Linked DNA regions of Struthio camelus. The protein of the gene in region 1 interacts with the protein of each later gene in a biochemical or structural test. Links are inferred from orthologs where the notes say so. Each region holds a gene or a part of one and is shown in the gene's direction. Other genes may lie near its edges.

What was found. The genes of interacting proteins can lie anywhere in the genome.
Region 2: the proteins of UBE3C (region 1) and PSMD2 form a complex in vitro, tested with the Homo sapiens proteins (2 studies listed by BioGRID). The link is inferred for Struthio camelus from reciprocal best matches to the Homo sapiens genes UBE3C and PSMD2.

The regions. Positions count from the first base shown.
Region 1 is NC_090943.1:10,788,415-10,796,432, forward strand, and holds the start of UBE3C (ubiquitin-protein ligase E3C), read left to right. Parts: upstream 1-5,001; 5' UTR 5,002-5,114; coding exon 5,115-5,180; intron 5,181-8,018. UniProt on the Homo sapiens protein: E3 ubiquitin-protein ligase that specifically catalyzes 'Lys-29'- and 'Lys-48'-linked polyubiquitin chains.
Region 2 is NC_090950.1:22,661,397-22,669,185, forward strand, and holds the start of PSMD2 (26S proteasome non-ATPase regulatory subunit 2), read left to right. Parts: upstream 1-4,703; 5' UTR 4,704-4,727; coding exon 4,728-4,862; intron 4,863-6,289; coding exon 6,290-6,346; intron 6,347-7,014; coding exon 7,015-7,179; intron 7,180-7,431; coding exon 7,432-7,553; intron 7,554-7,789. Other genes in the region: ECE2 (endothelin-converting enzyme 2), read right to left, coding at 306-392, 2,275-2,316. UniProt on the Homo sapiens protein: Component of the 26S proteasome, a multiprotein complex involved in the ATP-dependent degradation of ubiquitinated proteins.

The DNA.
Region 1 (8,018 bases):
CAGAACGTCCACCTTCCCGGGACATACAGAATACGGGCGCTATGAAAATGCCCATTTGTTCAGTACTCACTGAGCAGGAGCTACCTTCAGCTAGTGCAGGGACATTAGGACATGGTGCATTCCGATCTTCATCGCTGCAGTATGCTCAGTGAAGCAAGTTTAGAAAAGGGCCACGTACTTCAGACATAATCAGCCTGCACCATCAATCACCATCTCTTACCGAGTCCCATAGTTAGGCGGCCCAGGGAGCTAAACTAGCAAAAATTAATCTGGAAGCATGACCAAGCCCCACACAAAGACACAAGTTATTTATTTGTACGATGGTCAAATTAAGATTTTTTCGTATTCTCAAAAATGTATCCATTATTTCAAATGATACTTTTCAGAATCGAGATCGAGGTAGATTCTTGAAGTAGAAAATTTCAATCCAAACGGCTAAATCTGTCACTGTACACAAGTAAGTATTCCCCTGCCCTTGTGACAGTGATCTTCTAATCAAATAATTTTGGGTAACTTTAACTAAAGGACTAGCTGGCTGGACTGTATGTAGTAAGCCATGTCCTTATCTGTGTTGTTATACGCCTCTATAGAAACAAAGGTAATGAATGTCCTTGTCGTTATTAATTTACACTTTGCTTCAAGTTGATAGTGAAAGTAAGCAAAAACATTTCACTTTCAGTACAGTCCTTTGACTTTCTAGCTCCAGCACAGTTGTAAGATATAAAGTAATACTTAAATGTCCAGGTGTTGAATTTATTTAATTGTCCTGTCAAAACTATGCTTGAATTGCATATGTTGCACATTTACTAGTAGTTTTGGTAAAAACAAAACAAAGGGAAAACGGCAAAAAAGTAATTTGAAATATTTCTGAATCCAGAGTTGGAGTCCTGTTTTAGTCACCGCTCTCAAAGAACAATGTAGCCAGCCTGGATGGAGTCATAAGGAGGGCAACAAAACTGACTGGTAATTTGGAAATATGGACAGATGACAAAAAATTGAAAGCATATTTTTTTTTGGTCTAAAATAAAAAAGACTGAGAGAGAATAACTAATAGTCTTCATAAAGGATGCCTTGAAAAGGAAAACGATCAGTTGTTCTGTGTGTTCTCTGTGGGCAGGAGACAAATAATCATTTAGCAGGAACTAACAGAAATTTAAGTTGGATATTAAAAGAAGATGTATAACTGTCTGTTGTGAGCAGCTAGGCACGTTGTGGGACTCCAGGTTTGCAGTGGTTTACCTGAGCTGTATTTGATACAGAAGTGTGAAAGCTGCTTTAGAGTGGCATATAATTAGAAATACATATATTCAGAGATATTTCATATGTACTTACAGAAATTGATCCCTTTTGCAGAGCATGGGGATGGACTAGAGGTCATACCTACACCTGTATTTCTAAGATTTTTTATGTTTCTAATTCCCAAGGGCATTCATATTCACAACCTTTTTTGTTTATTAACACAAATACGGAAAATAAAAAAAATGAATTGTCTTGGAAATGGAAGAGTTGTCATTGGAGATTTTCAGCTACACAAATGAAATGGCCCTACACATGTCATTTCAAATAAAAAGCAGAAAAGGTTGATATCTGTTGCACAGAGTGAAGAAAATGTCAAGCAGTTCCATCTTTTTAACAGACTGTTGTGTGAAGAACAATTGGACTTCTGCGGTCCTGTTGCACCTGGAAGCAATGTTTGCAGATGCTTATGCCTGCAAGGGGAAAAGAGAACAATGTAAAAGGTAGAGAACTGTGATTTGGAGACAGTAAAAAATCTCATGGAATGTGCAATAGGAAAGGAGACGAGAAAGATGGCAAACTCCGTATGGAGCTAGCTATTGCAGCTGGTGAGGCAAAACAAGTGAACTCAGGCGGGTGTTAAAAGAGGCATACATAAAACAGTAGCATTCCTAAATTCTTGGGTATTTTTTTGTCAGAGCCCTGAGTGCACTAATAGGCCTTAAATGCCCTGACCAACCCCAGCTGCGACCCCCACTCACTCACTCCTCTGCTGATCGGTCCCAGACCTCCCTTTAAGCTCAGGCATACCTGTCGCCAGCCCCGCCCCCCCGGATGGACCTTGGACCTACATTGTAGCCTTGTCTCCTGCTGTTCCTGACTGCACTCTTTTCATCCCTTGGCCTTGTCTGGGACTATCGATAAACCCCGTTGCCAGCGGCTGGCTCTGCCTACTGTGTTTGGACCACGTGCGATTGCACCTGGGTCAGGGAAGGCAATGCCAGCGTTGCGGTCACCCTCGGCGCCCACTTGTCTTCCTTCTTGGAGCAGCCCCGCTCTTGCTGCTCCCTGAAAATATTAAACTCTTCACCATTCTGACTTCTTGACTAACCACCACTGATTCTTCTGATTCTTGTACATTTCCTCCACTGTGATATAAATGTATTGTTTGCACTAAAAAGAAACACAAAAATAAAATACATTTCATGGTTTCTTCTGCTTCTGTAAACTCACTGTATTCAAGACACCAACATCCAGTTGTTTATCCTGTTATATAAGTTATTTTCATTTAATAAAATTACACCTAGAGTAGCCTCTAGAGGCACACACAAATCATTCAGATTTCTCAGACACGCATTCATCACTTGGGCTCATGTCATTTAACAGCCATGAAAAACTCATCAAACTACCTCTTAGGAGGTAACAGCCTGGATCATCAAGAGATCTTGTGTCCATCTAACGCTGAAGTTGGCCCTTGTTAAGGATGTATCTGCTCAAAACCTATTTCATCTAACCACCACCCAATGCAGTTTCACATTCGTTCTCCTTGCTACACGAGGAGGGAATCCCTAAGTTGGCTTTGCTACTGATAAAAATTCCACACAAAACTGTGACCTGACAGTTTGTTTCTGAGCTAAGGGAAAGCAATGAATTAACTGCTATGGCCATCTGGATTAGCCCTTTAGTTTTCTGTATGAGACCTACATAGTTTATCAAGGCTGAAGGCCACGCAAAAAGAATGCAGTCACGCTTTGAAAAAAATTCATTTCCACTCTTGAGGGTTCTCCCATTCTCCTGGAGCCAAACTGAACCCTAATGGTGTGATATTGCATCAACGATGCAATGTGTTGAAACTCTGAACCAGCATTTGACATGGTATTACACAACGCTCAAACCTCAACTGCATCAGTAAGCAGTATTTACAGGAGGCCAGGCTTGCTAATACCGAAACTACGTTATCTCAGGAAATACAAGGCTGATGTTCACCCTTGTCAAGCACAACCTCCCTTACGAAATGTCTGAAATTTTTAAATTCAGGCTCTTCTGAATCATCCAAATCTGAAGAAATATCAACAAACATATAATCTAACACTCAGCCTGGAAATAATTAAATGGCATTTTCTTTTCTGTAAGAACTAGTCCGAAGTGCATACACTATCATCTGGCATGGACCCTGCTATTTGGCCGTTATGATAGGGTGAGGTGAGAAATCACAAGTTAGGGCCCAGTCAAATTTCCTCTAAAGCAGAAGGAAGCTGGATTTGATCATTTACGTTAATTTAGCACCTCTTAGTTGCAGAGCGATTAACTGCTTTTTGTTATTGCGTCCCTCAGTATTATCTCTGTATCTAGAACAACGCAATCAGAGCTGAAAAATGGAGTACAGGCTAAAGAAACGTAGAGCAAAGCAGCCTCAAGCTTAGTTTCACCATTTCGTTCTGCTGCTTTTATACACCTGGCTTTCTTCGTTGTCTTGATACCTCAGTCCTGTACGGAGTCCACTTGCACGAAGGGGTTTGGTAATTGGGGTTTCACAGCCGTACTGGTGCCTGCAACTAGTGTTTTCAGGATGCTGACATTCAGCTGCTCATTGAAGTCTTTGCAACAGGCTGATGCCCCAGCATACGCTTATCCTACAAAAAGCACAGCAATGTGTTTATTTATAAAAATAATTTGTGTTATGATCCTTTCTCCCCCCGCCATGTCTGCTCATTAAGAGCACACGCGCTGTTCCGTACAGCATAACAACGCTATCATGATTAGCAGCAACTTCCGCTGTCATCACGTATTTAGGCCGAGCAAGACGGCCGCGCGGGAGGAGCGGGCCAGGCCTCCGCGGCCAGCGCTGCCCAGCCCACGCGTATGGGCCTCGCAGCTCTGCCGGTCCCAGCTCCCCTGCGCGGCCGCCCAAAGCTCACGCTCACAAGGGGAAAGCAACGTGCGCGCCCGCCCGCGCTAACACCGGCGTCGGGCTGTTAAAACGCAGGCCCCGACCCGCCGTTTCCAGCGTTTCAAAGGCGTTTGGCCTTTGGGGTCAGGAGGACGTTGCCTACGCGCAGCTAGGCCTCTCCTTCCTAGAGGCGGGAAAGCTGGAGCCAAGGGGACAAAACTGCCCCGCTAAGGGGAAAAAAAGACCCGACCGGCAGGAAGCGACGGCGGTGGGGAGAGATGAGGAGCTGGGCCGGGCGCCAGGAGGGCGAGCGCGGACACCCGCCGCTTCGGCCCCGGCGCGCAGGCAGCCCCGGGCCGGGGCCGGGCTCGGAGGAAGCGGGGCGGCGCGGCGGGGGCCGGCAGCGGGCTGAGGAAGGGGCTGACAGGAGCGAGGGCCGCCGCCCGCCGCGGGGGTGACCCGGCTGCCGCCGCCGCCTCCACAGAAGCCGGCGGAGGCGCTGCCGAGGGGCGGCGCGCGCGTGCGCGCGGGCGGCGCGGCGCGGCGGAGGCGGCGGCGGCGGCGGGAGCGGGAGCGTCGCGGCGGTGGCGGCGGGAGCGCGCCGGGGAGGCTGCGGGCGGCGGCCATCTTCTCGCTACAGCCGGCTGCTTCCCCCAGTGCAAGTGTAGCAGCCTCGCCAGCCCCCTCCTCCGCTCCCTCCTCCCTCCCACCACACTGAGCCGTAGCCGCCGGTCAGGAAGGGGGTGGCCGGGGAAGCGAAGGCCGCGGGGAGGCGGCGGCGGCGGCGGTGGTGGGGGAGCCGGGCCGCCGTGTGGGCAGCAGCCCCTCGGGGGCGGCAGCGGCGCGGGCCTGGGGGTGCCGGCCCGGGGGCTTGCGGCTGCCCGCGGCCCCGGGGCTGCCCGCTCGCGGCCGGTCGGCCGGCGCCCCCGTCGCCGTGTCAGCTCGGGAGGGGGCCGCGCCGCCTCTCCCGATGGGATAAGCTGTAAACATGTTCAGCTTTGAAGGGGATTTCAAAACAAGGCCCAAGGTGTCCCTCGGAGGAGCGAGTCGGAAGGTAAGCGGCGCCGCCGGGGCTGTCTCCCTGTGTGTCTGCTCCGGGTGCTGGGGTGTTTTGGGTTTTTTTTTGTTGTTGTTTTTCCTCCCCGTCCCCAGCCTATCTTGCCGTTTTTATTATCGTTATCTTTATCGTTGGGCCTTCAGAAACGGGAGCAGCTATGACTAAGGTTTAATAGGGAAAAATCCTCCCCTCGTGATGATGTATTTATCTGTGCTCTCCCTGGCTCCGTTTTTTTTTTTTTCCCCCTTCTTTCCCCTCCTTCTTCCCCCTGTAATCAGGCCACACGCACCCTGCCGGGCCCGGAGCGTGTAAGAATTGTGGGAGGTGAGGAAACGGCTCCAGAGCTCGTCGGCGGCGCCGGCGCTGCAGCCCGCAGACCTCCTGTCGTTTTGTGTGTCCTCCCACCCCCCCCCCCCCCCCCAAAAAAAAAAAAAGGTCCCGTGAGAGGCCGGCAAGGAGCATGCCTGGCTGGAGGAATGGGGCCTTACAAAAGCTGAGATCAATGCAAAGTAAAGCAAAGCGTGGGGGGAAGAGGGGGAGGCTTCTCCCAAATGAGTGAAGGTTGACAGGTCGCAGGTTTAGCTTTTCTCGGTTAAGTTTACGCTCAGTCGACTTGTGGTGTGCAGAGGGAGTAGCAGTTAATTGTCTGCTCTACCAGGCTGTTGAGTCTTCTGGTGTTTATTGCTGAGAAAGAAGTTGGATGGCTTAGCTCTGGCTGATCGGAAAGGATGGTCAAGTGTTTAGTCAGCCTCAGAGGGGCATAGAGCTATTGAAGAGCAGGATAAATGACAAAAGTGTTTTTAGCCGGGCCCTGATTTTAAGGGTCGCTTTGATTTATCAGTAAAGTACTGATTCCTCTTGTTATCATTGAGCGTTGTTGTGTGGGAAGCTATTTATTGTTATGTCATTACTATCACTGAATCTTAATGGGAGTAAAAAATGTTACTGTGCATTATAAGCAAATTCATTTACCTGGAACTTGTAAGGCTTGGCAGTATAGTTAGGAAGCTGAACTAAAATACTGTACTACCTGATATTAAAACTGCAGTGAAGTTTGCTTTTTGATGTCTTCTGTTACATATTTTATTAAAGAGAATGTGTAGCAGAACTATATTTAATTTGTTCAACTTTTCCCCTGAATCATCTTCTGATAATCCTAAGCCATTTCTGTCCCTTAGGCTTCATACATGACATTACCTGCGTCAAAAATAGAATAAATGTTACCCAGTTGAAATGGGCATTGGCAGAACACGTCCTGGTCCTCAGATATATGTTTTAGATAATTTGCAACTTTTGGCATCAACTTGCTAGTAGTATTACTTTCAGAACATGTTTCCTGCTCCAGAAATAAACAACCGTTATAGCATCTTCTGCTACGCTTACTAATTTATTGATCCGATCAAAGTTGCAGCAGAATTCTGTGTCATAATTATAAATAATTATGCGTTTTAATTATATGGGACAAATTTATTAAACTTATGCAGGTATAAAGATAAATTTACAAGGGCAAATGTTAAAAGATAATGTGGAAACTGAAACTGATGCGTAGCTTTAACTCCATCAAATATAAAGACCATGTTTCCTGATGAGGTTGATAATGGCTGGTCAGCGATTTTACATGGGTACACTAAAGTGCTTGTGCTGTATCAGTGGAATAAAATTAGTCCCAGCTTTGGACATTCCGATTGCGGGCATCATAGAAAGATCTTGGCATAGCTGCTTGTTTTCAGAAACTATGGGCAGTGAAAGTACTAGTGAAAGAATTTATTTAAACAGTGTTAAGAATTCCTTTTAAAAATGCAACTTGCCTGAACTTTTTTGTGAACGTAATATAGCAGAGATTGGTGTGGCAAATGTTCCTGAGTTCCATGGATTTCTCATTTTATTGTCCCTCATCGCAGGCTTTTTGTGATCGTTTTTCTCTTACATGTAGGTTTCAGTTTTACAGAAGGCTGAATTCTAAAGTGTTCCCTTTCAGCTTTTTGTGTTCATGAAAATAATAAATTGCTCTTTGAACTTGTCCACCAACAGTAAATGTGTATTTTTTTAGAAAGATACAGTATGAAAATTCCAACTCTGAAAATCTGCTGGACAAATCGGGGCGCCTCTACAGTGCTCCACTAGAGTTAGCTGGATGCTTGGTACTGCCTGTTTCGATTCAGTTGGTGGAATAAAGCACCGCTCAGAAATACTGTCATAATCTGTATGCAGGTTATTTAATGCTAAGAATAACCCTTTGCCTGACTGGGGGAAGTCTCCCAACTTTTGCTACACCTGTATAGAGCTACATTATCAAAACCTTCCCAGCGTGAAAGCAGGGACTCCGGTTTAAGGACCTAGTCAGTGCTAGAGATGCTAGCAGTGTTCCTGATGTGGATGCAGCTACACCAAAGTAAACCATCAGCCAAACTGACTGCTAAGCGACTGGTTTTGCAAATATAACTGCAGCTGCAAACAATAACTGTGCTGGTCATGGATCACATGTGTTGATACCCCCATCCAACATTGCTGTGTTTGTCTGTAGTGCAGACATACTTAAGTTTGCTTAGGCCTCGCGAGGCTTAACTTTAACAAGTCCTACTAGCATAGACTCAATGGTAGGACTATAGCTCTATCTAAAGTGGAACTTGTAGTGGCAGTAACAGTGGCAATTAGAAAAATTGCAATCCCAAATGAAATGTCTGTAAACTTATAAAGACATAAGATAGATCAATTTAAATAGAGCTGTTAATTTGGAAAGATGAATTTGTTTAAGTTTTCCGATCGAAGAAGTACCTCTTTTATGATCTGCAACAGCTGGGCTTTTTTAAAAAAGGATGATGAGATGTGATATAG
Region 2 (7,789 bases), on another chromosome or scaffold:
TGCTGGGGCCACCTGAGAGATGGGGCATCCCCCCGAAGGGGCCTGAGCCCCCTGCCCCCGCAGTGGGTGCTGGCAGCCCCCCAGCCACAAGGACGGACTCTGCCCTGGACAGACTCTCTGCCGCATTTTGGCTGCCTCCCAGCGCAGCCCTGGGAAGTGCCAGGGCTGCCTTGGCTCCCGGCCTCTGCTCTCGTGCCCACCCCAGTGCAGGCAGTCTCAGGAAGACGGCAGGGCTGAGGGAGGGGAGGGGGGCTTGGAGGGGTCCCGGTGCAGGCAGGCGGGCAGCGTTTCGGGGCAGAGCTCACCTCCATGCTGTCGGGAGAGGCGCTGCCGTCCCCTGCTGGCTCGGGGCCCTCGTCATCCTGCAGCGTGGCACGCTTGTAGTCAGGCATCTGCCGGGGGAAAGAGCGGGCTGGGACGGGGATGGGGGGGGGTGTGCCCAGTGCTGCAGCTCTCCCCGGCCCCCACCGGTGCTCACAGGGATGGCAGGTGCCCGCCCGGCCGGGTGTGTGGGACACTGGGGTGGGCCTGAAGTCCCTTGGTGCCCCGGGCTCTCGCCCCAGCCCCTAGCCTTCCTCGCCCTCGGCACCCCTCCTCGTCCTCCCCAGGGGGGCCAGGGGGCCCAAGGCGGGCAGCCGGAGCATCCCTCCACGTCGCCATGGCGGCCGAGGCATCAGGCGCACGGACAGGTGCCACATCGCCACGGAGACGTGGTCCCTGTTGCCAGGCAACCAGTCGCGCCGTTGCCTAGCGCCGCCACCTCGTCCCTCCCCCCCTGCCTGGAACTTTCCACGCAGATGTGCACGGGCCCCGAAACATCTGGAAGCGCCTCCAGCCCTGGCGGGAGCCCCCGGCCGTGGGCCAACCTGCGCGCTTGCCCAAGGGCAGGCAGGGCCTCCACGGGGGCTGAACGCGGGGACAGAAGCGAATTTTCGGCAGGCTGGGCTAGGATCCCCCCACACGCCAGGCTTTCCGGGGCGGCCTTGCAAGGGCTGTTTGTACCGAGCCAGACGCAAGGGCTGCCAAGAATCAGCTAAGAAAGAAGCGGTGGAGACGAGCCAGAAACTTGAGGGGGGGATGAGCCAGAGGAAAAGGCTGGATGCTTCGGCGGAAGACAATCAACAATGCGGCTGGTCACAGCCATCCTTAGGCTTCAGAGTTAAAGCCTGGGCGGGTTGTGGCTCACCCTTCTTGCCCAAAGCCACAGACTCAGGCCGATGCCATGGGGCTGTCTGCGGGCCTGGTCCCCCCAGTGGGGACTGTGAAGGAGCCGGGGGGAGTGGGGGGCGGATGCCAGGCAGGGGATGAAGTGGGGCAAGTGCCCGTGCCCAGCTCCTGCCTGCTGCTACCCTGCTGGGGCGGGGGGCTCCGCAAAGGGCTGCCCAGGCAGGAACCCACGCGAGGCAGCGGGGATCGACGGTTGGCAGGAAACCCCTCGCCGGGGCGGGTTCCCGGGAACCGCTGGCGTCTGCGAGGGCTGGCTTGGCATCTCGTGGGAGCTCGGCGAGCCGGGTTCCCCCACCGTGGGCTCCCCCATCCTGCGCTCCCCCACCTGGGGGGGCCCCATCCCCCCAGCACTGGCTGGCTGTACTCCCTCCCCTGCAGCTCCGGGCACCCCCAAGGCAGGTCTAGGACACATGGGGTGTCGCAGCGCTGAGGCTCCTGCTGCCGACCCACTCCGGCCCCGGCCCCTCATGGGGCTGAGGCCTTGGAGCTGGGTACACACACCTGCTCCCTCGCGGGGTGCTGGCTCAGGACCCTACAAGTGGAGTGGTCTGCCCCCAGGCTGGCTCCAAGCTCCTCCGGAGCAGGGGCTGTAGGGTCCCTCGTGCCCCCCTCCCCAAAGTGTCCCAGCTCCCCTGCCCTGCACAGGCACAGGGCACAGGGATCCCTTCTCCCCCTTCTCCTCCTCACCAGGGGAGATGGGTCCCTCCAGTGGGGGGTCTGCTATGCCCACCTGACCCCTCTAGCCCCCCAATTTCCTCCAGCCCCCAGACCCATCCAGCCCCTCTGCATCCACTAGTCTCTCGTCCCCCAGCTCCCTGAGTCCCCCCAGGGCCCCCAGAGCCCCCCAAGCTCCGGGGGCCCCCCAACTCCCTCGGGGCAGCCCCCCAGCACCCCGGGGACTCTTCTCCGCCGGCTCTCCCTGCCCCCCGGCCCCCATCTCCTGTCCCCTGCGGTCCCTCATCCCCCTGTCCCCTGTCCCCCCTCTCTGTCCCTCTGTCCCGTTCCCCACCCCCGGCCCCCGCCGCCGCCGCCGCCGCCGGGACTCACGGCGTGTCCGAGCTCCTGAAGGGCCACGTTCATCCTGGCCATCCCGGGCCGCCCCTCCCGCCTAGCTCCGCTCCCCGCCCGGGCCGCGCCGGGCCCCCGCCGCCGCCGCCGCCGCCGCCGCAGCGCCGCCTGCCTCCGCCGCTGCAGCTGCCATGGCCCGCGCCGCCCCCGGGGCACCGGCGCTGGCGGGGCCGGCGGCGGCCGCCCCGGCGAGGAGGGACGGGGCCCGGGGAGCCGCGGAGGGCTGCGCACCGGCGGGCCGGCGCGGCCGCACCGGGGGTGGGCGCCGGCTGGGGCCGGGGCCGGGGGCCCGGCGGCGGGGGGAGCGGGGACACCGGCGTGCGCAGCCCGGCCGCTCCGCTCCGCTCCGCCCGGCCCCGCCGCCGCCGCCGCCAAGGTGACCGCGAGGGGCCGCGCCCGCCGCGCGCACGGGCGGGGCCGCCGCCCGCACCGGCCCCGGGAGCGGCCCCGGCCCCCGCCGCCGCCCCGCCACCTGCAGCCGCGCCGCGAGCAGCAGGGCGCGGGAAGGGGCGCGGGGCTGCAGCACCCGGGCACACGCACCGGCACCCGGCTGCAAACCGCACACAGCCACCGCAGCGCGGCCCCGCACCGGTGCTCCGACACATGCACAGGCGGCGGCACGGAGCCTCGCACACCGGTACGCCAACACGCGCGCACACACACACACAGACACGCACCACCCTCCGCCCCCAGGACACCAACACACAGGCAAAGGCGCACAAACACCCAGAGGCCCACGCCAGCAGGCGCTGACACAGTCGCGCGGCACAGGAGCGCACCCAGCCCCGGGCAGCCAGGGTATCCTCACAGCCACCCTTGCACGCGCACAGCTGCACGGACAGTCTCACACCCCAGCTCACACACGCAGCCACACTCGGCAACACTCAGAGAGGCAACCCCTGTGCGGCCACCTGCCTGGGGCTGGGTGTCACCGGAGAGCGCCCGGTTTGTGCGCAGGGTGCAGGGAGCGGGGCGCTGAGCGTGTTGAGGCACAGGGACCTTGGGGGACACCTACGCTGCGGCTTCAGCCACCCCTTCCAGGGGACCTGCAGCTGGGGCGGCTCCTGGCCCCACGGGGCACATGCTGGCACTGCCCCTGGCATAGTGTTGTGCACGTACAGCCTTCCGCCTGCTCGCAGGTGTTGCACACGCACACGCATATGCATTAACACGCACACACACACACACACACACACCAGCCCGGGACCGTGGCACTCGACACGTGTCGCAGCACCGACGGTTGGACACTGGCACGGAGGGCTCACACCACTGGCAGCCCCCCTCACCCCCCACGGGTGTGCAGCCGGGCTCGGGGGGCAGGGGGCAGGCACGGGTGTGCATCGCCTGTACATGTGGGTGCACAGTCACCCGCCTGGCCCTGGCGGTGCGCGAGGGTGAGCCCCAGGGTGTCCACGGCGGTGGCACCTCGCACCAGGGGCAAGACCAGCGCGAAGAGCAGCATCCCCTGGTGCTGCAAAGGCAGCCAGGGCATGGAGGGAGGCCTGGGGTCCGGGTGTGCGCGGCGCAGGGGACGGTGGTACCCGAGGGTGCCCCGTGGGGTGCTCCCGCTGCGCAGGGTGGGCGGTGCATGGTGGTGCGGGACATGGCAGTGCTATCTGCCGGAACCGCGGGGCCCGGTGCCACGGGGCGGCACGCGCGTGCAGGGCCGCGTGTGCGCCCAGGGGTGTGCGTGCGAGGGCACGAGTGCCCGCGTGTCTGTGGCGGGTCAGGTCCGGGGGCTGGGGCACGGGGAGCCCACCGGGCCCTGGGGACGCGTCAGCACTCGCCCTGCTCCGGTGGCGCCTCGGCATCCTGGCAGCGGGCAGGGAGGTGCTGCTGCCGGCCGTGCCCCTGCCTGGGGGCCAGCACCTCTGGGTCCCCCAGCCCCCCAGGGTGCCACCATGCCTGGGTTACCCACCTTAGGGTGCCACCGCTCCCGGGTCCCCTGGTCCTGGGACACTGGCGCTCCCGGGTCCCCTGTCCCTGTTCCCAGGGTGCCACCGCTCCCGGGTCCCCTGGCCCTGTCCCCAGGGTGCCACTGCTCCCGGGTCCCCTGGCCCTGGGACACTGGCGCTCCCGGGTCCCTTGGCCCTGTCCCCAGGGTGCCACCGCTCCCGGGTCCCCCGGCCCGGGGGTGGCAGCGTTGCCGGTCCGCTGACCCTGTCGCCACCCCGCGGTGCCGCCGCTCCCGGCTCCCCTGCCCCGGGGCGCCAGCCCCGCCGGGTCCCCCAGCCCGGGGTGCCGGCGCTCCCGCCCGGCCCGGCCCCGGCGGCGCTCGGCGCTGCGCCCCGGCCGCCCCACGTGGGGGTCGCCCCGCCCCCCAGGCCCCGCCCCCATCGGCGCGCGGCGGTGGCGTCAGCGCAGCGGCGGGCGCCGATTGGCGCTGGCGGTGGCGCAGGCGCAGAGCGCGGCCGGTGCGCGGCGGAGCAGCCATGGAGGCGGGCGGCGGCGGCGGGCAGAGCCGGGTGCAGGGCGGCCCCGGGGCGGGCGGCGACGAGAAGCCCACGCCGCCCTGGGGCAGGGACCGCCGGGACCCCCCCGCGGGGCCCGACAAGGAGCAGGAGCTGGTGAGCGCCGCCGCGCCGCGCCGCGGCCCGGAGCTGAGTCACGGCCCCGGCCGGGCCGGGCCGGGCCGGGCCGCCCCGCTGCCGCCCCCTCCCGCGGCGGCCCGACGTCACTGGGACGCGGCGTGACGTCAGCGGGGTGGCGGGCCCCCCCGCCGCGGCACCCGTGACGTGCTTGGGGTGCGGGGGCGCCCTGCGGAGGGGGCGTGTGACGTGAGTGGGGTGAGGGGCGCCCCTTCTGGAAGGGGCCGTGACGTCAGGGGGTGCCCAGGTGATGACGCCGAGGGTTCCCTGCCCTGGGGGGTGCGCCTGTGGGGGGACTGCTGGGGGCCGCGGGGCCTGACGTCACGGGGGGCGTGTGACACCGCGGGTTAGGGGGCCTGGGATGTAATCAGAGTGCACGTGTGACATCAGGGCCTGAAGCAGGGTCCCTTCTGGACGTGGTGTGGGGATGGCAGTGGGGGACCCCGCAGGGTGTCATGTCATTGAGGGTGTGCGGTGCTGTGGGCTGGGGCCTGTGATGTAATCAGAGTGCACGTGTGACATCAGGGCCTGAAGCAGGGTCCCTTCTGGACGTGGTGTGGGGATGGCACTGGGGGTGGCACTGCGAGTTGGGGACCCATGCTGTAATCAGAGTGCACATGTGACATCAGGTGCCTTCTGGTACGGGGTGGGGATGTTCCTGGGGTCGGGGGTCCCCATGGGAGCGGGGCAGGGGTGCTGGCATCACTCGGGGCACCCTGCTCGGTGCCCTGATGTGGCAGGCTGTGCAGGAGCCGGCTGCGGGGCAGTTCCCTGCCATGCCCCTCTCCGTGGGGTGTCCTGATGGGTGATGGGGGCACTGACCCCACACTGCTCTGGGGCAGGATGGTGCCCTGTGGAGGTTGTTGGAGGCTGTGCATTATGGAGATGGCCCAGCACCCCAGGGTGACACCTACCCCATTCCTGCGATGCATGGAGGAAAGCAGCTACCCTGGGGGCACGTGGGGCCTGTGGGTGAGGGGTGAGGGCACCCAGAGGTCTAAACAGAGATCCCAGAAGGGGAGCAGGGCTTGTGGCAGACTGATACCACCCCTGTGGAGAATGAAGCTGAGGAGAGACTTTCTGGGATTAAAGTCAAAAATCTTGGGGACAGCAAAACCTGTCCCCTGTGAGGAGGAGGGAGGCAGTCCCTTCTGTCACCTATCCCCCAGCAAGGGTACCAGTGAGCCTTCCTGGGGCGGGAGTCATGGGGTAGTCCAAACCTTTAATTCCTGGAAAAGCTGGAGGTGGGGGGAAAGTCGTGGACCAAACTGTTCCTTAGGGCTGTGCTGAGACCTCCCCATGTATAGGGGTTGATGTAATGGTACCCTGGGGGGGAGGTGTGCTCCGGAGCTGGGGGTGTCTGCGCTGAGCCCCTTAACTTGGCTTTCTTCTGTGTCTTGTTGCAGTCTGAGGAAGACAAGCAGCTGCAGGATGAGCTGGAGATGTTGGTGGAGCGCTTGGGGGTAGGTTCACGCTTTGCCCCTCAGTGAGGAGCTGCTTTGTCGGGAACCCCAGCTGAGACTTGCTTCTGGCCATCCGTCAGTTACAGGCACTTGTTTCTCATGCCGTGGAGATGGGGGACTTCTCCTTGAATGGGGCCCCCCCTTGCCTGTCACAGCGATGTCCGTCCCCCGGCCTTACTGCCTGTCTGACCTGTGTCTAAGGGAGCTGTGCCTCCTTGTGCTGATGACTTTCCTCCCCCTGCTGTGCTTCCTCCTCAGCCCTGGGAACCTACTTTGGCTCAAGGAGATGCTGTGGGCTTGGCAAGGCAGGAGTTTGCCTGCTTGATGCATGCGTGCACAGTGCTTGTGTGCTCACCCAGATGCCTGCTTGGAACTGGGGAGCAGTGGAGGTTTTCTGTGTGAGACTGGGCTGTTGCCACCCTTAGACAGGGGGTACCGTGGCCCAGAGCTGTGTGATGCCAGTTTCCTTCCCAAATGTGTGACTTGGCTCTTCCTGATCATGGAAGATGTTGGTGTTGCTGGAGGCCAGGCTGCCTTGGAGGGTGGGCAGCTGGATGGCTGCTGGGGCAGGGGGATGCTTGGATCTGGATGCTATGTTTGGGGAGGGTAGGTGGAGAGGTGACACAGGAACCAGCCCCTGCCTCCTGACAGGCAGTTTTGCTCTGCAGGAGAAGGATACGTCCCTCTATCGCCCTGCCCTGGAGGAGCTGCGGAGACAAATCCGTTCTTCCACGACCTCGATGACCTCTGTTCCCAAACCCCTCAAATTCCTACGGCCACACTACGGCAAGCTGAAGGAGATCTATGAGAACATGGCTCCTGGAGAGAACAAGGTAAAGCCAACCGTCCTGTGTAGCTGGAGGGCAGTAGGACAGTGCTGGGGCACATGACCATAGAGCCCTGCTAGAGTGTGAGATCTAAGATCACCCTCTGTGACCCGCGCTGGTGAATTATAACTTGCCAGCGCCATGCCTGCGCCACGTGTGATTGCTTGTGGGCACAGGGAGGGTGTTTCTGGCTGGTGTGGGCTGCCCTCGCTCCCTCGTGCCCAGGGTGTGTCTGAACATCTGGCACTCTTCCTCCAGCGTTTTGCCGCAGACATCATTTCTGTTCTGGCCATGACCATGAGTGGGGAGCGCGAGTGTCTGAAGTACCGGCTGGTGGGCTCCCAGGAGGAGCTGGCGTCTTGGGGGCATGAATACGTCAGGTAAGGCTGGGTCGGAGCAGGACTCAGGGAGGGACAGGCGCTCGGAGGAGGAATCCCCACTCACTGGGCTTTGACTAGGCTGTCCCTGTCATGTCTGTGTGTGTTACCTCATCATCTGTTGGCAGCAATCTGCCAGCTGCAGAGATCTCACTGCCAAAGAGAACTGAGGTGCCCGGCCTCTGTAATCTCTGCTCTTAACCCTCTTCCTCCCATGAGTTTACCATTAGCTCTCACAG